2 linked regions of the Caenorhabditis elegans genome follow. The protein of the gene in region 1 interacts with the protein of each later gene in a biochemical or structural test. Each region holds a gene or a part of one and is shown in the gene's direction. Other genes may lie near its edges.

Region 1 (12,379 bases):
AACTGAGCTCTAAGGTTGATTTTTGTTGAATTGTTTTTGATTGGAGTAGTGTAGATTATTACTGTAGTTATTTTTCCCCAACTCACGTATAATTATCGGTATTCGATTTTCCGTCTTTTTCAAGTGTATCAACTCTCAATTTCGTATTTCTCAAGGATGTCATACACTCTTCGTTCTTCTTTGTAATATCATCCAATTGAATTGACACTGACTTCTTCTCACTATTCGCTGATTCCAAATCTGCCATACTTCCTAAAGAAACGATACTATATTTTCAGATAAACGGCAGAAAATTACTAACCAACAAGCTTTCCTTTGGTGAGACTCAGCTGGGCGGATAGTTGTCGAACTTCTTCGTTTGTCTGGGATAAAACTTCTCCTTGAGCTTGATATACGTAGAATGCGTAAAAGAATAATACCTGCAAAAAGTGTATAATTTCATTGACTTCTTGTTAATTATATTACCAGGCAAATAAGAAATACAAAAAGGGGCCAATTCCTCATTGTAGTAGGACGATCCGAGTGTGAACTGCTCCTGAAAGAAAAAAAATTGAATATTTATTTAAACGTTGTCCTTCTATGTATCTATATGTTTGTTTAATGGTTACAAAAAAGGGAAAAGCCACGCGACATCTGCGGCGCACCGTTTCGTTTTTATGCAAACGGAAGACTGCGTGGATGTCATAGATACAAAAAGGAAAGAGACATCGATTTTTGATAGGCTGACGAATGCAAAAAAACGGAGATTAAAGGGGATTTGTAGTAGAATTAGAGGAAATGCATAGTTGTTTGATTTAAAAAATCATCAAAATTCATAAAAACACAGAAAACTGAGTCAATACAAGAAAATTCGAGTATCAAGCTTATGTCTACTGTTATTTTTTCAAAACTGCATTTTAAATAAGAAAAACTACAGAGTTGTGACTCTTTCAGTAGTAATATATAGAGTTATCATTCCAGTGAAAAAATTACAACTCCAATTTCCAGTTTTAACCTAAAATCACTTGAGTACGTATTTCTAATTCAATTACAAAAGCTGATGATGTACTATAGCACTTACTGGGTCTTATGCAAAATTACAGAAACAATTTGAAAACTTGGTTGAGAATTTAAGCCAGAGTAATTTTTTTGTCGGAAAATTCCAATATTCAGTATTTAAAATATAGATGTTGAAGGTAATATATATTCTCAAAAGTACGCAGGCACAGTCGACAGTAACAGGGGCGCCTGGAGTGCCTCTCCACTACCGGCGAGGGCAAGGAGCACCCCTTTTCTACAGATGTTAAAAATTTGTTTTAAATTCAGTAAAGCTGGTGAATTTTACAAATTGTGCACATTTTTGAATCCGGAAAATTTTCAACACTTCGAAGTTGTTCTCAAAATCGGCTTTCAATTCAAATTTTAAACAGGAAAACATCTTTAAAAATATTTGTTCAAACACAGAGTTTTATAAAAAGCTTCTAAAAACTTACCGTATGAGAGGCTTTCTGCTGGATGACATGACGGGGGGATACCGGCAAGTATGTCTTTTCGACGGGCGATGATGGCCGCTGATGATACGGCGAGAGGTTCCGAGACACAGGCGTCCTAAATGTGTTGGAAACTAAACGGCAGAAAATGAGCACTAGAAGGTTGGAGAGTCGGGGAGAGATGTTAGAGTGACGAGGGATGAGGAATGTTGGAAGAGACAACACGAGAGAATAAGACAAAGAGAGATGTCCTGCAAAAGAGAGTAAAGACTTTTCTCCTCTTCCTGCGGGAGTCAGAGAGAGAGCGGCGGGAAGCAAAGAGACCACATAACGATAAGAGACACAGAAAGTTTTGTATCACTGTCTCTCTCATCATTTCATTCTATCTCTTCACCTTCTTCTTCTTCTACTTCAATCCATTCCCATCGCCTTCTCCGTGTGTGTGTTTGTCAGTGTTCGGCAGGAGGCCCTCCTTTGCATTGTATTCCCCTGGAATGCGACCTGCTGCCCCTGGTACTACTCCAAATGGTGCATCTTCTGATATCAGACATCAACGTGGAGTTGCTCCGATCCCATTTGGCTCTACTAATTCAGCGATAGATGCCCATCACAATTCAGTAGGTTTTGGTTTGGAAAAGTGATTGGGTTATTGATTCAGATCTTGATCTGTTTGGCTTGATCACTCCCTAGATTTTCAGCTGAACCATGTGTCATTTGAAAGAGGACCTTTAAACTAGATCGTTGTAAATTTTAAGCGGCAAAGTGTCACGATCTGAAACTTTTTAGTGCTCTTTTCACAACTTTCGAGAGCTGTAGACTTGCTCCAAAAGCTATTTTTTGCAGACATGTTGTTTTTCAGTGATTAAGAGCAATTGAAAATTCTAGGAGTTTTAATAAAATTTTTAAAAATGTTCTCCCCCTAATCAACTCGATCAAAATGCTTTCAGATTTCCGTTTAAAAAATTATTTAACTTAAAAATTACCTCTAGCATTTTCGGACCAATTTTTTCTAGTTCAAAATGCTCTTCTGTTGCTAAATTTTTTGTGGGGTCCTATTCAAAAGGTCTTCTTTTAAATTATATTGGCTTTGCTATTGTTTGTAAATACATCTATAATCGCAAATCATTTTTTTTTGCAGTTCCATGTTTTTTTTTCCTGATTTGAATTTCAAAATCTGTTCAAGATTCGTAGAACTCATTAAAATTTAAAAAAAAATCCTCAAAATTACTTCACCCTTTCTTATTCAACACTTTGGCGTTCCGAGACAATGCGGGGCTTTCATGGCAGACGTTATCACTTGGAATGGCGGTTTTGATAAGAAAATGAAATCACCTAAAATTCCATTTAGAAGCATCACCTTTTAATAGTTTCGTAATCAATGAATCAGTATTTTTCATATGAAAAATATATAAATTGCTCAGAAAAATGTACAATTTCAGTGTTGAAACATTGAAAACTTCCATAGAAACGCAAAGTTTTTTGCTTTAAAGAAATCCTTTTTTTACAAAAATTCTAAAAAATTCGCATCTGGGCAGTGGTACCATAATTTGGCATAACTAATTAAACCAATTGTTTTTCCAGGAAATCCGCGTGGGGCGTCATCGTGCAAAACTCGACGAAATTCGCGAATCGCTGAAAGCTTACGAACATGAAGCCGGTTTATTATCAAGTCACGTGGCTCTTGGATCACTTGCAACACCGTCAAGTTCTTCCGTCAGCCATTCTGACATCACCAATGACAATGCGGAAGTGATGAATTTTTCGTCTTCTTCTTCAAATGCAGCAGCGACGACGACGACAGTCTCGAGCGCTGCTGTATCAAATTCGAATTCTTTTAGAGTGAGTCACATTTCTTTTTTTTTAATCAAAAATGGTCCTGGAAATCGAATGGAAAAACATTTTGAGAGTAAAAAATAAAATTCGATTGGCTGGGAAAATTGTCCGTCAAATTTTCCGTCTAGGTCAGTTCGTATGCCCAAAAAAAACATAACTTTTTTGAAATTTATACATAGACCGGCCGAAAGCGTCATATTTTTCTTCGAAAAAAAAAAGAATGGAATTGTAGCAAACTAGCTAGAAATTCTATTGAATAAAAAATTATGAAATAGGTGGCTCAGCTCAACTTTGGGATTTTATGAAAATTGTCAACTATGAATCGATTTATGATCTTCAAAAGTGGTGAAGGGTGGTGGTTCAAAAGTGAAAAAATCATATTTTCAGACAGAAGGTGGTGGTCACAAGATGCGGATAACACCAATGCCACAAAGACATTTAATGATGGATACTGGTGCCAATGAGACAGTATTTCGAAGTGGAAAAGAGATGATTCGAAATGGAAATCCATCAACAACTATATCATCAACACCTTCTACAACAACTGAAGAGTCGATTAGGATACATCCTGCTGGATATCGATATGATATGCCAACTCCTGCATATCATATGAATAACAATGCACCACAATACTCACCAGGATATGTAAGTTGTTCTCGAAAAAATATAATACTAAAGAATCGGAAAGTACTTTTTCTGAGAAGTCCCACTTAAAATTTTGTTTTAAAAAAATTGGTTTGCGGTGGTTCAGTTTTGAAAAAAGTCCAAATTGTCAATGCGATTATCACTTTTCATATTTTGGTCGTTCGTTCCATGTTTTTCTGTTGATTTGGCTACATTTTCGGTCACATATTTGATAATATTTAGTGCACCCGTAAACTGAAAAGGCACTTTAATCAACGGCGAGACACGTGTGAACAACTAAAATTAGTAACAAAATATACTTCCAAATTGACAAAGTTTGAAAGTTTAAGCTGAAAAGAAAATGGACCAAAACTTTCTTTGAAAAATACTCCTAGTTCAAGCAATAGGGGGACCTTCTTGTGACCTGTTCATAACTTCTGAAATTTTTTTTGTAAAATAAATTAAAGAGTCCAATAAAGTACACACAAACACCCCTAGTAGGCAGACCTGACACTTTAATAAATGAAAATTTTCAGTCTCGACCACCTCCACCAGCCTACGATTCATCTCCGGTGAACACTAGAATGACTCCAGTTGCAACAGACAACTACCGTACTCACCTGCATATGAAAGTTCATCCTGTTGTAAAAGCGCCACCACCGAATCCAACAATGCTCAATCACAACAAGAATATGGCACCCCCACCGCCTCCTCCAGCAAAATCTACGATTTCCATCGAGACAATGTAAGTTTTCTAAACGATATCAGAAGGATTCTATAAATCTTTTGCTTTAACTTTTCAGGAGTGAAGAACGAAAAGCAGATAATATCCAGAGACTTTATCATACATCAATGGACAAAAAAACAGCTAGTAGTGTTGTTAGTATCAATGTTGCTTCTCCTCATACGGTATTTTATGACCTCAAATGATATTAAAATTCATTTTTAATTTCAGACAAAAGTAAATGTTGGTGATAGTCCTCTTCCAAGCAAATCATTCATTATTGGTCCACGGTATACAGCTGATGTCGATAGGAAGAATTTTGTCAACTATAAAGATGAGGTAAATTTGAGAAAAATTCAACTCCTACCTTCTGAAATATTTAACTGATATTTCTAGAGTCATTTTTTTGACAGAGCTCATAAAATATAAGAGACTAAAAGTTTTGTCTTCGCAGACACCCATAATCAGCAAAAATTTGCAAAACTACTTTAGAATCGGTTTCGAGAGCCCAGTTGAATTTTATGAATAGAACAATAATTGTTATAAAGTTCGGGGATAAACCCTAAAAATAAAATGATTTCAGCTGCGTCCCGACCCTCGCCTGATTCCATCCACTTCCGATGCAAATCATGAAGATTTCCGGCCGATCCTTTTCAAACCAAGAAATCTCGAAATCACAATGAAATCACGTGCTCAACCTCCTCCTCCTCAATACAATCAACCCAGTGAGCCACCTCCGAAACGAGTCAGCTCCCCAATTGATCGAACACTTTTGGAACCATACATCAAGAATACACGAAGAGTTCAACCATGTAAACCAAATATGCTTCGATTTTATATGGAACAACATGTTGAACGACTTCTACAGCAATATAAAGAACGAGAAAAACGAATGAAACAGTTGGAAAAGGAGATGGTTTCAGCTCAATTACCGGATATTATGAGGAATAAAATGCTGGGATTACTTCAACAAAAAGAGTCAAAATATACGAGATTAAGAAGACAAAAGATGAGTAAAAGCCATTTCACTGTCATCTCACATATTGGTGTTGGAGCATTTGGAAAAGTTTCATTGGTTCGAAAAAATGATACTCGGAAGGTTTATGCAATGAAAAGTTTGGAAAAAGCGGATGTCATAATGAAACAACAGGTAGGATTTGTTATTTGTTTAGGATCTTGGTTTAAAAATTTGAAAATATTGGTGTCCTACGTTTGAAATAAAACCTTGAATAGAAAGTAAGAAAACTGCAAAGTCTAACATTTTTGATACTCTAGGTTTTTTTTTTTTAATTTAATTGATTCTATATTTGCTACTAGTAGGAAAATATATCAGATATATTGTGAGTCTAGTAGTTTTTAAAATGTGACTGTAAAGCGATATGATCGAAAAATAATTTCAAAACTTTTTGACTAAAAACACCATTTTCTTTCAGGCCGCCCATGTGAAAGCCGAACGCGATATTCTGGCAGAAGCTGATTCTCCTTGGATTGTTCGTCTTTTCTTCTCATTTCAAGATGATGCTTGTCTATACTTCATAATGGAATATGTTCCCGGAGGAGATATGATGACTTTATTGATTCAAAAAGGAATATTTGAAGAAGATCTCGCTAGATTCTACATTGCTGAACTGGCATGTGCAATTGAATATGTTCATAATGTTGGATTTATTCATAGAGATTTGAAACCGGATAATATTCTAATTGATCAACATGGACATATTAAGTTGACTGATTTTGGATTGTGCACTGGTTTGAGGTGGACTCATGACAGAAGGTAAGATTATGTATTGTTTATTTGTCACGAGAAAGAGAGGGTGTCTAATGGAATAGAGCCTAGGCGCGACGCAAATGATTAATTGTAGTTGGTGTGCTCAACATCTGTGCAAAAAATATTTAAGTCACACATGAAACCATCCAATATTTTCTAGATACTATGGACCTGAAAACGACCATCATCGTGTCGATTCATTCTCGCTTCCTCCTGAAGTTGCAGCTATTGATAAAAGCGTTAAAGTTCTAAATGTTCGACAACAAACCCGCCGGATAACCGCCCATTCTCTTGTTGGAACAGGAAATTACATGGCACCCGAAGTAATTGCCAAAACCGGGCACAATCAGAGTTGTGATTGGTGGTCGACTGGAGTGATTTTGTATGAGATGGTATTTGGAAGAGTGCCATTTCATGATGATACACCTGGTGGAACACAACATCGAATTAAGAATTGGAGAAACTTCCTTGATTTTACATATTGTGGAAATCTATCAAAAGAGTGCCTTATGATGATTCAAGTAAGTTTTTTTGTTTAAATAGACGTTGTGAAGACCAAAACTTTTTCAGCAACTAATTTGTGACGCGTCGTCAAGATTGGGATCTCACGGGAAGGATGTTGCCGAACGAACGGCACAAGTCAAAAATCATCCATGGTTCAGGGGAATTGACTGGGTTAACTTGAGAAAACTGAGAGCTGATTATATTTATATTCCTCGGGTCACTCACGATGAAGACACTTCTAATTTTGAAACGTTTCAAGTGAGTTTTTCCTTTTAAACTTTGTTTAGAGTGTCTAAAAAAGTTAGATATAATTTTATGTATGTAGACATAAAAAAGATAGCATCAAAATTATGAATATTTGAGTTTGAAATACAGAATTTTTATTTGAATTAAAGTAAATTAATTGTGGAGTTTCTGAAACTATTATACATAGCAGCTCCAATAAAAACATAATTGAGTTTCACTACTCAAATTTTTAACTTAAATTTGGAATCTTGAAAAGTTTTCTTTCAAAACCTATCACACTTCTAATTCCAAATTTCCAGGACAATGACCGTGCTGACAAGCCGAATGTGCGAGGTCTTCATAATCCAGCCTTCTATGAATTCACTTATCGTCATTTCTTTGATACGGATTCTGTTGGTTGCCCATCACTTCGACCATCTCGTCGTCGGTCACTTCGGCCATTACTTGAAAACGGAACTTTTAATGAGTCAGTGTCGGAAGAAGATTCATCGTCTCATATTTAAAAGAGCATGAATTTGTTTATTGATTATATTATATATGATTTTAATGTGATGTTTTAGTATCATTTTTTACTCATTTTGCTTCTATTTTTATCTTTAATTTTCCAAATTACCCTCTTTACTAATTCTGTGATGATCTCGATACGGTTTTCAGAATTCGAGATATTTTTAATATCTCTTTTCTTTTCTCTTTTTCTCTCATGTCGCCACACTATTTCGTTCGTTTTTTTTTTGCTCAAATGAATTTTTATTCAATGAAATTTTTAGAAATTAAACATTCTATGTTTGGATGCAAAAAGTGGATCAGTTGTCAGTAGTGCCAATAAAATCAATCACATTGAGAAATTATTACTGGTTTTTCGTCTTTCGGAATTACACCGAAAGTCTCTGAATTTACAGTGCGTATAGCGTATAGCGTATAGCGTATAGCGTATAGCGTATAGCGTATAGCGTATAGCGTATAGCGTATAGCGTATAGCGTATAGCGTATAGCGTATAGCGTATAGCACTTCAAGTGATGTTCTGTACCGTTAGAACTGCGCAGCATCGCCCATTACAATTTACCTATGTGGCAAGAACCGTCCGATAAGCCCTCGTCTGTTTGACGCTATTTCCAGTCTCCTTGTTCTTATTTTCGCAGGAGTTCGCATTTCCCATTAAGAGATTAATCGATTTCACTGCCTCTGAGTACGGTACAAGATTTGCTTGTTTCCAAACAAATCAACTCAGGGGGTAGCAGTAAATCCGAAAATGCAGCCCTTGCCTGCTACTTTTGAACCCGGTTCAGAAATTGGACAGTGAAAGATTCAAGCAAACCAGTTCAGTTCAAGCCAGGTAAACGTAACGGGGACGCTACACTCACAAGAAGGAGCAAGATGGATTCACTTACCGTCCATCCCGATCCGTCCCGAATTTGTCCATCCTTCGTCGTCGTCGTCGTCGTTTCGTCCCAAATCCCTACCGATCGTTCCAATCCATCCATCCATCCATCCCGATCGTCCAGATCTTTCCATTCATTGAGCGCCATTTTGTTCCATCACATCTTTCAGCATCTGTAAAAACTTGCAGTTTAGTTAAAACATCAAAAAATCCTTACAGATTTGGATTTTTCCTTCCATTTTTCCATGCCATCCATCCTTCATGCATCGTCGTTTGATTGAGGTCTGTAAAAAGATACATTTTAGTTGAAGCTAAAAAGAGAATATTTCTTGAAAGGAAAAGAGAAAATATAGATGCAATTTTGTTACGATAAAGATGTTTTTATTAACAAGGGAAGGTTTTCATTTTACCGTCAGACTTCAAAGCGAGAGAAAGATGCCATTTGAAAATGTTCCATAGGATATGTTACTGCAAAATTTTAAGCGGCAAAGCTCTACCTCAAAAATTTCGATCTGAAATTGTTTCAGGAGTTTTTTACAATTTGAAAATATTACAAATATCAAGCAAAATTGTTTGAAAAATTAGTTTTTTAAAAAGTTGTTCGATCTGAATGTTGAAGAAAAAAAGTTCTTGGATGTAAACCTGAAAAAAAAAAATCGAGAAACAATATTTCTTAACGAAATGTCAAGAAGTTAAAGAATTAAGACGGGTGGATGGAATGGGATGATGGGAAGGGATTTGGGACGAGACGACGACGACGAAGGATGGACGAATTCGAAAAATAGGGAATTTAAGAAACAAGTTTTATTGACGAAATGTCAAGAAACGAAGAAATTCAAGAATTAAGAATTAAGATTTAAAATCCATGAAATGCTAATGAGGAGGATAAGGATAAAAAGTGAAACAAGATAAAATGAATGACAGAAGTTGTTTAGGTGTTCGGATGGAAAGATGAACAGAGCCTGCAGTCGGCGTTTACAAAGAGAGCCTCCTCTAGGGGGTGAACATGTGGAGAGACTCACACAACATAACTGTCTCCTTTCCCTACGCCTTCTGCGATAAACAGGTTAAACTGTAGTGACGCAGACCGTCTATTATCCCTTTCAGCATCGCTATGTTCTCCCCTCTCTTTTGTGCGAGTTGTTTTGTGCATGCCAGATGACATCTCCAGTTCATCTCCAGATGTTCTCGCGTACCGACAGAGAAATTGTATTGTATTAAACATCTACCAAGTTTGTGTATGTACCAACTTTCAACCAGCATGGTTGGCATATGTTCAATTTCGCCTTCTGCAATCTTTATGACGTTTTGGTCGGAAGGAGTCCTACCACTTATTGATTGGATGTGAATGTACCAACTATGCTAGTTTCGCAGAGTTTCGACACCGTTTGCAAGCCCGGGACGTGGTTTCTTTCAGTTTAACATTATTTTTCTACTGCTTAGTGTCTTTCCTTTTTCCTTTCCTTTTTTGATGCAACAAAAGGGTTAGTTATCAGTAGTGTCACTGAATAATAAAATTAATCACATGGAAAAAGTGAACAGGCGATAAACAAAAGAAACACATGGCATCAAAAGAGGAAAAGAAGGTTTGGTTTAGTTTATTTTTTGAATTTAAATTCTACTTTTTAAATTTAAAAATTGATTTTAGTTGTCTTTGTGCAACAATTTTTATTTAATTTCATAAATTAGTGCAAATTGGTGCACTTTACATCCAGAGACTTTCGGTGTTTCATTTTTTAAAGTCAAACAGTTTTTTGAGTCTCACCTGGCTAGGTTGAATTTTTTATTGTGTTTTGTGGTTTTTCATGTTTTTTTTTTAACTTAAACTTAAATATTAAGCAATGCTTCGTTTCACAACACCGATAACAAAAAAACTGACAATTTTTTTTAAACAAAAGACAGGTTCCGGCTTCCTTCTCTCGAGATTTCAAAGAATCTTGTTATAAAGGCCCAACGCAATATTTTGTTTATTTTTATTACGGCCGTTTTACTAGCAAGCGCGATAATAAATGAGATGGTATGATGGTATTTCTGAAATTTAGTATGCGAGAAAAATCCAATAAACATTTTAGGGTATTTTAGGGTTTATGATAGTATTCACTCTTGTACTTTTTTCACAAGACTAAAAATTTTAGTACCTCTGTAGTCTACCAGAAGATTCTACTATTTTTTCTACCTGATTTTGGGTTACAGCTAGGCTGTAAGGTTTAGTAAAAATAATTTTAAAAAAGTAGGCTGTCAAACTTAAAAACTACAAATTTGGTCATAAAACCTCAAAAATAATTTGAAATTTTATTTTCCCCTGAATTTTCCCATATCATTCATCTTCTCGCCCATTTACCCACCCAACAAATCACAATGCCACGTCATTTGCCAGAGACATATGGTGCCTCGTGGCATCACAGCTCGAAAACACATGTGTCCTATTCATACTTCAAGTTTTTTGCTCCGTTCCACCATTTTCTTGGCATTTCCAAAAATTCGTTATCATCGAAGAAACAATGCACTTGAATAGTTTTTTTTTGTAAGAAACAGGAGTCACCTGACCTCAAAAAGTTTATGTATTGACACGGAAACCCCATGTGTTTAAGTGTTTCTCTTGTTTGTAGATTCCACTTTTCTCGTTTTATCAATTATCCGTGTTCCTTTTTCTACTGGTATCAACTTTCTAAACATTCTCTTTTGTTGTATGCTCCGCACTTTTCGAAGCTTCTATTTTTATTGAGCTTTTTTTTAAGTTTTGTAGTCTTTTTTGTCGACTTTTAATGATTTTAGACTGTTTTAAAAATCCAATAAATACATAGTGTTTTTAGAAAATATGAAGCTTCAACAGCATGTTCAAAAATTTTAATTGCTTGCAAACAGCCTCAAGTTTTCAGAATAAAACATTCAATCGCCTTTTTTCGCAGTCTACCAGGACTGTCTAAAAAAGAACATTTTTACCATTTTCAGAAATGTTGATTTAATTGAAAAATATTTGTTTTATAATTGTTTTATAAACTTGAGCAAAATAGCTCCGAAAAAAATTCAAAAAACTTTCAGAATATTTTTCTTTCGAAGTTTCAAGTAATATAACTCAAACTAAACTAGTAAAACTAGACTGTCTAGACTTTTTGATCCAAACATTTTTTTAAAGATAGTTTATTTTTGAAGCCATTATTTGATTAGAAAAATTATTTGAAGTAGGTGGCCTATAGGCTTAGCCGCCTACTTCTTCTTGAATGCAAAAACTCTAACTGCAAAGACAATGTTTCAAAATGTACTCAAAAAAGTGTTCCCTCATTGATATCCTCATCAAAAATTCATTGAATCTATGATATTTCTCTCGTTCTCTCACTCTAACTTCCACCTAAAAACGGCTGTCACTTTTTCCACTCCAACAGGTGAGTGAAATTCCAGCTAGTAAAGCTATTTGCTGCATTCGGCTAAAATCGGTTTATCTTTTTTTTCTCGCTCATTTCTACTTTCGCCTCGTCTCCTCCACCCATATTTATAGAACGTAATCTGCAGTCATCATCGCGTTATACTTTTTTTTGGGGGTTGCTAGTTTATATTTTTATTTTCCTGTATACATGTTTTGTTGCTTTATTTTTTTAAAGTTAAATCATAGGTACTTATGGGATTCGTTCCCCCAAAATGATTTTTAATTATTTAACACTACCTTTTTAATTTTAATCCACACGTGAATGTTTATTTTAATACTGTTTTCATTTTTACAAGGCTTAGAAAATCATTTCCCTAAGCCTGAGAACGAAAAAAAGTTCACGTCTCAATTAGAAAATATGGAAATCATTTTGGGGGGAACGAAACCCATAAGTACCAAATCATATTT
Region 2 (9,933 bases), on another chromosome or scaffold:
GTATTTGTAGTCCCTCAACGAAATCTTGGATGAATTTATCTGAAAAAAATGAAAGCACCAAATCAGCTAATGTTTTCCAATTATTTCAATTAGAGCCTGCATTTTGCACGTTTTCATTATTTTTGCAGACCATTTCATTTCCAGGAAAATCAATTAGAGTGATGTGGTTTTGAAATCACAGCTCGACATTTTCGGTCACCTGGAAATGGGTCGGGCTATAACTTGTATTATAAAAGTAGTCAGTTTGTGTGCATTACTTTTTTGTTGTTGATTGTTTCCATAAGAAACAATATTTTTTAATTTATAAGATCATATTTTAGTTAAAAAAAGTGTATACTAATAAAAAACATGTATAAGTGCATACATATTTTTTTCCGGGCCTTATCTTTTAACAGAATGTAGTTTGAAGTTAAACTACTTAAGTTTTAAAAAAGTTGCTTCTTTTGTTGCTTTGTTTGGCTGAGGAGCCCAAAAATAATAAAAATGGAGTTAAACAAGTCAATGAACATTTATTTTCCGGAATGCGTTCCGATAATATACTGATAATACAAAAGATCCATTTGTACCGCTCACACACTTACCGATGATTCATTGAATTATTAAAAAAGGTTGTTCCTTATTGATCTTTAAACTTTGCTCATGCTGAAACAGATCCTTCATCAAATACCCTTTAAGATTATTGTATTTGCAATCTGTGCTCTTTGGACTGTTCCACTTTTCTCAGTTTCTCTGAGCGCCACCACGAAAGCTGAACTGCCTCAATGAGCTGAACAGCTTGTTAATTTTGTTTACCTTTGGCGGGGCGTTTCAAACATTTTGAACTGAGTGAATTTGATGAATTGTTTACATTTTTAAAATCAAAAAACTAGGTATTTACAAAATGTGCGTTGGTGTTCGGAACAAAATGTCTAATTAAATATATCTTTTCTAATCACAGATAAGTATCGTATCAGTTTTATTTGATTTTCTATGTTTTTTTTTCTATTTTTAGCCGTTTTAGTACCAGTCGCCCACCACCATTGTTGCGGGTTGTGGAAAAGAAAAAAGAGAGAGAGAGAGGCATCACATCAAAAAAAACCGCCTTATTCCAAATGGTCAGAACGATGCCAATCGGTGACTCATCTGTTTTGCGCAACTTTCTCATCGTCTTCTTCCCATTTTCGATGACAAGAAACCGTCTCTTCCTGTCCATCTTGTCAAGTCTTGGAATATCCGAAACAGGCAGCGCTGAGATCTTCAGAAATGAAGGCCGTTTAATATGCCTTACCACCAACTGACCTAGTATCTTTTGGTCTTACTGTTGTTGCAAAACTTGAAGATTTTTTCTTTCTAAATTACCTCAGTATATAGTATTTTTTGATAATTTTTGAGAACCCTCACAAATTTACAAGTTTTAGTGGGCAGTCAATTTGCCACCAAACAATAAACAAACTTGTTGAACTAAGATTTTATTCTACTATGTCTTGTGGAACTCTTCAACATAAAAACAGAAAAGTTGCATCAAAAAGTGGAATTTATGGCTGTAAAAATATAGAATTATGCAATTACGTTGTGATTATTTTGAAATATAAAATAAAATCTGTCAACGTACACATTAAAATGTCTGAAAAGTTTTGTACTGTTCCGAAGTTCCCAACCAAGAAAAATAAATGAAACCAACCCTGTATATTGCATTTCTAAATGCAGATCAGAGGCGCGCGGCAACTGCTTTTCGCCAATTGAAATTACGGCACTTGCCAATATTGCCGAAAATCTCCGATTTCCACGCACCCATGATTCAAATGTTAAACGGAAAACATGTTATCAGGAAGTTAAAAACTGTTCAAACCAACTACACCTCTTTGCCATGTTCCCTTCTTCCTGTTTTTGGCAGAAGAAACCCAACATTTGCCACTTTTTAAATTTGTCATCGTTATGTTAACTTTTTCAGAATGAAGCGTCATTTAGCGTTCTAAACACCGTTGAAAATGCTAACTCATGTGACATGGATGGTAAATAAATATGTGACACTGATAGAAATACAGTTTTTATCAGGCATGCTTCCCACCTCGACAACCCCACCCAAAGTTGTCGATTTTGACTCAATTTTTATATAATTTCACGAATAGTTCAAATTCTTTACATTGCGTATGCTTGTTTCGTTTCCAACACAGCGAATAAGTCTCTCCTTGCTTTTATAGTAAATTTAATATTCATTTATTTTAATTACCTAATCGAACAAAATTATTGATTTATTATTTCTGTATTTTAATGATACTTTCAGCGAATTTAAAATCTGAGCATTTTAATACAATTAAACTTCAATTATAAATGAAGTGTACATTTTTAGAACATAATCAAAAAGAACATAATCAACCTTTGTCGAAAAAGATACATCTTTTCATCTTATAAAGGTTAAAAAACATGAGTTTTCATTTTACACAGGTTTTTTGAAACTAGTTTTATAGTCAGATATAATTTTGATTAATTTCAAAACAAAACGTTTTGTATTAAAACTATGTCAAATCCCTACTCATAGTTTCACTCATATTGAGCAATTGAGCAATTTACTTGCAGTCTTTATTATAAATACGCCCGTATTGGTGTTGATTAAAGGCAATAACTTTTCAAATCATAATAATTTTCGAGAATTCGAATTCTAATAAGGAAAATACGGAAAATCAATGTTTCGTTTTATGAACAGTACGCCATTTCGCGGTGGCCATTTAAATGTTTTCTGAATAGTTTGAGTTATAGAAACATAGTTTTAAGATTGATGGTGTAAAGGATGATAAAGTGCTTGAGTGGTGAGCCGGACACGCGTGGGTGTCCTCTTTCTCTCGGTTTTCCCCGGAGCTGCACATGTCTCCGTTATAAATGAAAAATGCGCTCGTTATAATGACAAAAAACAAAAAGAACCTTTATTCATCAGCCAGTGATTCTTACAAATAACGTCTCCCAAGGTTCACTGTTACCACCAATAATTTTCACTTTCACTACGTCTATACTTTTTCTTCATGTCTCGTTTACCCTTTTTAAAGGTCTTGTGTTCAATGGGGCGGGAAGGAAAATATGATTAGCTGCTTGGATACGATCACGTGAACTTAACCCGTGAAAGAATACGGTATTGGCGGAAACATGAGTTATATTTTTCACTTGATGAAAACAAAATCGTTTAATAAATTACTACTACTACTATTTTCAATCATCTCGTACTCAACTCGTGCAATTATCTGTTTAAAGGAAACTGCGTGTGCGTTCAAATTTTTTTCCCATACAAAATATAACTGCGACTAATTTTTCAAATAAAGATGCTCAAGTGATCTTTTCGGATTTACCTAATAAAAATATATAATTTCTTTTTTTTCACAATTTACACCATTTGTTGTGTAGGAACTCTAATTAATTGTTCGATACAATAGAATTTCCCTAATATAAAATGGTTTATAATTTTTTGAAAATGCCCGTGGCTGCCTTTGGCAAAACCTTTATAAAGTTAAGCTAAAAATGTGGGAGTAATAGTTGTTGTCATATGTTTCACACAATGTCAAAAATTGAATCCAAGGAACCCTAAAAGTCTAATTTGACCCTTCTGTGCACTAAGGCAAACCGACTGACTTCATTCAAGACTAAATGCAAACAGTTTGGTGCGGTCTGATGTTTGAACAATTTTAATGGACACTGACAATTGAGTTAGACTAAAATCAAAACACAACTGAGTCTTCCCATTTCATTGTAGATATTGAGTGGGCGGAAAGTGTCTGTCATGTGAGCCAAAAACCGTCACTTTCCTATACTAGGGTTATGATGTGTTGTTGCTCACTTGTCCACTACTTGAGTTTTTCATGCTCTTTTTTGTGAAACTGTTTGTTTTTCGCGTATCAGACTACATATATTGTCCGAGAAATGTCATCCTCAAACATCAAAATCTTAAGTCAATTTTTCAAAACGATTTTTTCTTTTTGATAATAATGTTATCTTTACCATGCATATTAAATAATACCTCACTTTGTATGCAATTTCATAACACTTCCGTTTTGTAACTCCGGTAATTTAAAATTAAAGAAGATAGAACGTTTAAGACCAATTGAATTTTTTATTTCACAAAGCAAACCTGAATGTGTTTTATTTCACATTATTTATTTCCTGAAAAGTCAGCAGTAGTTTTTGCAAACCGTTTTCTATATTTTTCATTAATTTAGTTTGTCTCGTCATCACTTCCGGCATGAACGCAAGTGATAACTATTCGACTCTGCAAAATAATACCAAAGACAACACAACCATATAAAAAAATTAGAAACGTCATAGTTTTCACTGTATTTTCTTTCGTTTTTTTTTTGGTTTTTGCGTCTCTTTTCAATTTCCTATCTTTTCCATATTTGGATGACACACCACACCCGAAAATTTCCTTTGTTGCCTCACTGTGTCTCCTGAGAAACTTATAAAAGAGTGTGATCAGTCACAGCAAAAAAAAAAAACGTTAGAAGATGTTGTGGTCAACTTGATTGTTTATCTCACTTCGGTTCAATCAGTTCGGAACGGACTACGATGTTAGCCATCGAAGGGAAAGTCGAAGAAGATGAAGAAGAAAGAGAGGCGAACGGCGTATTTGTTTGTGCACTACTTGTGGCATTGTATGTAACACCCAGTACAAACATAAGTTCTAAAAGGATCGAGACTCTGCGACTCTTTACGTTTTGGAAACATTTCATCTTGATTTGTTGAAAAGTTTGGTGACGTAAAGGATGGGTTTTTGTTCAACTTTTGAGCCTCCAATAGTATTTATTATTGAGTTTTAAATTTGTAGCACAAATAGAAAATTGTTTCCAAATAAATTTATTTTTTGAGATTTTTGAGGAAGTTCAACACTTGTACATTCAAATGTTGAACGGTGCGTTCAACTTCTACAGCCCAACCTTCTGTTTTAAGTTGCACTTCTTTTTGATAATTGTTTTTTTTTCAGAAAACTGTTGATACCATTCAAATAAGCCGTTCCAAAAACTTTATCAATAAGTATCAAAAAAGTTAGGTGTAATAAACCATTGTGTAACTTTTATAGACCTCTGTATATTTTTTATATTTCAAAAAAAACCGAATGTTATGAAATTTCTCAAAAGAATACAAATTTTATTTTGAAATTAAAATTATTTTAAAAATTAACAAATATCAAATTTCATAAAACAAATTTTGTGAAAACTTTAGGGATCCCCAGAGCGTCCTGAAATTCTTTAGAGACCAGTTATTGGCTTCCGATTTTTTTGTGAGTACTGAACTTGACCGATCTGATTCATTTTATTTACTGATGATGCCGGGAATAAAACAATTCATGGCGAGCCATATTAAAATTCAAATTAAGATAATTAAGCTTTTAGTTAGGAAAGTACATATCTCAAGACAGTCGTTCCAGTTATGTTTAATCAACTTCATTATCAAGCGCAATTACCTTTATAACACGTATTGTTTCCAATTTGATTATATTGTCAACAGCTTTTATTTTTGGTCTGTGAAAATGTTAATTTCTTTGAAAAACTTAAAAACAAATTTTCAAAAAACATAACAATTTAGTTTGAAAAATATTTTTATTGCAGTTGTCTCAATCTATTTTAATCAATTTGTACAATGTAATTTATTGTGAAAAGCACTTTTTCAATTATTCCACAGCTAGGGTTTCCAGTAGTAGATGATAGCTTTCAACTCTTCCCAGATTCCGAGTGTTACAATCCTGCGGTCGGATCAGTCCATCTTTTTTCTTATCTCTGAACTGATCATAATAAGTTATTGGGAAGAACGACGGAGTAGTGGGGGAAAATAGAGGAAAAGAAGGTGGAGGCATCAGTCGCACCACACATACACGAACAATTGGTTGACCTTCTAGACACACGATTTCGTGTTCCTATCTTCTCTCGCACCTCAAGTCGACGTCTCCTTCTGATTCGGTTGCAATTGTATTAAACTGTCACTCCCCCCCCCCCCTTTACTTTTCCTCTAGTTTTCCTTTCTATTTCTCGTTTCCTCTCGTTTATATACAAAAACTGACCTTTTACATCCGTGGCGGGGGCGAACGATCGAGAAAGAAGAAGCATCGGGAGAACTTTTGTTGTTGTTTCGATCTTAGTTGTTTCGTTTTATTTATTTTTTCTTGCTGCCTTATTCCATTTTACTGAAATTGAAATGGTGTCTGTCCATCATGTTTTATTTGCCGGATGTGAGGGATGGAAACGCCTCCGATCTTCATGTCCTCCCAACTATTCTCTCGCGTTTTTTTGCCTTTTTTCCATCTTGTAACACATTATTATTGGTTTCCTATTGCCTTCGTTCTTTCGTTCCTTGCACGATTCACCTTGTTTCTTGATTTCACATTCTTCATTTTTTGTTACTATTTCAAATTTTTCATTTATTCACATCTAAATACAATTTTTGCAGGCTGGATGGCGTCCAAGAGCATTCATAAGAAGCACCAAGAAAATTCACAGCAAGATAAAAACCAATTCTCAGTGCATCATTATTTAGATCCAAATCAGAGTATTCATGCTTTAATTTCATGCTCAGAAAAAAAGTATGAAAAAAATCAAAATCAAAAGGTTTGTTCAAATTCTAAAAAATAATATAACTATAATAGAACTGAAAAAAATTGAGATCACATTTCATTACACTCAAATTGTTTTTACGGGTCAAATTGTTCGTACGAAACAAGAATTATTATTTGATTGCGTCACACTTGCCTTAATTGACAAAGAAGCTACTTATTTCGCAACACTTTTGTAACAGTTTGATTTTACAGTTGATAATGGGGTATATCGCAAAACAAGGATAATAATTAATTTGGTTTAATGGATATGCAAAAAGTTGTTTTTTTTTTGAAAATCACATGCCTCGTTTCAACTTTCAGAAAAATCCACTACCTTCATCATATTACCATCAGAAGCGGAATCCGGGAAGCAGTGCACATTCCCCTTATGTAAGTTTAAATTTTTGAAGAATAACACACCGGGTGAAATTTCAGGGATCAGTAGATGAAAGTAGTCGAACAGCCGTCAGCCCAGCTATGGATATGGTATCAAACCAAGCACCGATTCACACACGACAAGTCAGTGCACCGAACCTTCATACGAGTGTTAATAATGGGTAAACGATTTATTTTGAGACAATTCAAATCACAAATATTTGTAGCCAATCTTCCGCAACAGTACCACATCCATCTCATCACAATGTCCACCATCAACACTCAAAAGTGAGAAAAACTATGATTGTTGATTAAACTAAAAAAGAGTTTTACAGAGTGTTTCTGCATTACCAATGACTATTGGCTACTCTCCAGTACCTTCTCACGTAAAATCAGTATCTCATGAAGCAAATTACTCATATGCAGGACTCTCGGAGTATGCCATAGAATATTTCTGTTTCATTTCTAATATCAACTTCAGAATACCACAACAACAAGGAATGATGCAACAAAATCGGGAAAAGAGCTTATCGCTAGACCCAATGAGAAGGCCATTTATGACACCACAGGATGTTGAGCAGTTACCCATGCCCCAAGGATGGGAAATGTGTTACGACAGTGATGGAGTTCGGTACTTTAAGGATCATAACTCAAAAACAACAACGTGGGATGATCCTAGGCTAAAACGTAAGTTTTATTTATAACATACGATGAAACAAAAAAAGTTTGCAAAATATTTATAAAATATTTTGAAAATCTCTATTTTCATCGAACATTTTACTGAGTCTTATTCATATATAGCTCTGTTTTTTCTGACAATACTAGAAAACATTTCTACACGTTTTCACTGATTGTTATACCCTGTTTTTCTTCAGAAAAATTAGTATAAATAACTAAGGTTACAATCTGTTCACATTAAATATTAATTTATTTCAACTTTCAGAACAAGAACAAACTGGTTTTGGATTAGGAGAAAACATTGGCCAAAACCGATATAATAATTGTTACGACAATGGACACTCGTCTCGATCATTGCCCTCAATTCATCAGCACCAGCAGATGATTCCCAATCATCCACAACCACAATACTCTTCTCAGCAGCAAATGGATTATATTCAGCAGTTACAAAACGAACGAATGATGATTCAAGAGAAGAACGCGCAGCTGATCAATTCTGGACTTGTCGACAGTCCGCAACCACCATATCAAGCAATTTCCCCCATGTCATCAACTATGATGGTATTTGTTCTTAAGATACTAAAACAAATTTAATTGAGTATAACCAATTACAGCATTCTCATGATCCAAATTTCATGTACCAACAACAACAACAGGCTCAAAACTCTCAACAACAACAGACACCGCATACATTGCACCAGATCCCAAATCAATACCAAAATGTAAGATATTTATTATGATGTAAAATGAGAAATTCGTAATTGTCCAATCTTATGACATTTGTAAGCTGAAAAATTTTGAAGTCTCTCTAAAACGTGCCTTAAATTCAAAAAAAAAAAAGCCATTATTTGTTGATAATGCTTTAACCAAGACTATCTAATAATATCTAATAATTAAAGGAACGGCTGAAGTTACAGCTCAAATTGATATTAATAATTACTTAAGTTTATCTTTGAGAACAAATCAAAAACATATTTTTCAGAGTCAAATGAACGACGACAGTGCGATGGAAGTCGATTATTCCATGGTATCACACCCCCAGCAACTACAACATCAGCATCAACCACATATGCATAATAATATGCCTAGCAATTATGTAATCGATGTTTGTTTTTTTTTCATTATACTCAATTATTTAGACTAATTTCAGGATATCAATCCACACGAATTCGACCAGTATCTACAAATTAGCAACGATAACAATCGAGGAGTGGGATCAATGGTGCACCATTATCAATAAATGTCTAATCAGCAGAATAACCACTCTCTTTCTCTTTCTCTCTCTCTCTCTCTCTCTCTCTCTCTCTCTCTCTCTCTCTCTCTAAAACGTGCCTGTGTCTAGATTATAGCGACTTGTGATTTGAAATTTGAAACTTGAAGATTCATCAGAAAGTTTTTCAATTGTTTCCTTATTATATGTGATCATGTGCTCAACCCCGTTTCCAATACCTGCATTATCAATGTTTGTCCATACTTTCTTTGAAATTTCCCCTGCAAAAACGTAGTCATTCAGTAGTGAACCTTAACAATTTCCTAATCATAAAAGTTGCCAAAAAGAAATTTATCGATTAAAAAAGTTGACTTTTTGATTTTTTTGACTTACTTTGATTTACTTAATGGATCTGAAAAGAGAATTTTCAACCTTTCTTGAATAAAAACTCCAAATGAATTCAGTTGCTTTACCATATTAGAGTCACCAATTCCTTTCTTCCACAATTAGCTGCAATTTAGTTCAAAATACCTTTGTGATGTGATTTTTCTGTATTTTCCGCTCAAATTTTCTTTTTTTGTTCTACGTCTAATTACACTTAAATAAAATAAGACAAAATGGAAGAGATCATCAAGCATTTTTTTGATATCATGTACGATTGTTGATTTGTGTATTCTGAAACTTTTTAAAATATGCCTAACAGTTTCTGACTTCTGCTATTCAAGGTTCCAAATAAACAATTTATCGATTTCTCAATTTATGCACACGTTGTATATTGTGTTTGGCTACAGAGCGTTCCTCTCCTGACGTCACCACCACGCATCAGTTGGAGTGTGCAAACACGCTCCACTATACCCCTCCCCATTTTATTATTTTACCGATGTCGTTTTTTTTGTTTCATTTCATTTTACGTTCTATTTTTCAATTTATTTGTAATGTAATAATTTAGGAAAAATTTCAGAATAGAAATGTCAGAACGAGCGCTTCGAAGAACAACTTTTAGTGGTAGATTGCTTCGTTTCAAGGAGGAAGAAGAAGAAATTGATAGGAAAACTGCAATTGTGAAGGTATATCAAAATGTTTTGTTAGTATTAATAGAAATTTGTACTGCAGGGAGGAATTT

The links.
Region 2: the proteins of wts-1 (region 1) and yap-1 form a complex in vitro, tested with the Caenorhabditis elegans proteins (one study listed by BioGRID).

What each region holds. Positions count from the first base shown.
Region 1 is NC_003279.8:10,287,431-10,299,809, reverse strand, and holds wts-1 (Serine/threonine-protein kinase WARTS homolog), read left to right. Parts: upstream 1-1,882; 5' UTR 1,883-1,963; coding exon 1,964-2,086; intron 2,087-3,050; coding exon 3,051-3,308; intron 3,309-3,689; coding exon 3,690-3,947; intron 3,948-4,462; coding exon 4,463-4,671; intron 4,672-4,729; coding exon 4,730-4,835; intron 4,836-4,881; coding exon 4,882-4,989; intron 4,990-5,233; coding exon 5,234-5,800; intron 5,801-6,083; coding exon 6,084-6,424; intron 6,425-6,578; coding exon 6,579-6,939; intron 6,940-6,988; coding exon 6,989-7,180; intron 7,181-7,467; coding exon 7,468-7,671; 3' UTR 7,672-7,731; downstream 7,732-12,379. Other genes in the region: T20F10.2 (Si:ch211-1a19.3), read right to left, coding at 87-252, 302-419, 466-535, 1,473-1,501. UniProt on the Caenorhabditis elegans protein: Phosphorylates yap-1 which may negatively regulate yap-1 nuclear localization. Plays an essential role in larval development.
Region 2 is NC_003284.9:10,685,541-10,695,473, forward strand, and holds yap-1 (Yes-associated protein homolog 1), read left to right. Parts: upstream 1-6,402; 5' UTR 6,403-6,407; coding exon 6,408-6,560; intron 6,561-6,868; coding exon 6,869-6,937; intron 6,938-6,982; coding exon 6,983-7,104; intron 7,105-7,149; coding exon 7,150-7,210; intron 7,211-7,257; coding exon 7,258-7,358; intron 7,359-7,403; coding exon 7,404-7,609; intron 7,610-7,865; coding exon 7,866-8,161; intron 8,162-8,214; coding exon 8,215-8,322; intron 8,323-8,582; coding exon 8,583-8,705; intron 8,706-8,750; coding exon 8,751-8,840; 3' UTR 8,841-9,433; downstream 9,434-9,933. Other genes in the region: plpp-1.3 (Phosphatidic acid phosphatase type 2/haloperoxidase domain-containing protein), read left to right, coding at 9,779-9,877, 9,924-9,933. UniProt on the Caenorhabditis elegans protein: Plays a role in thermal stress response and in aging.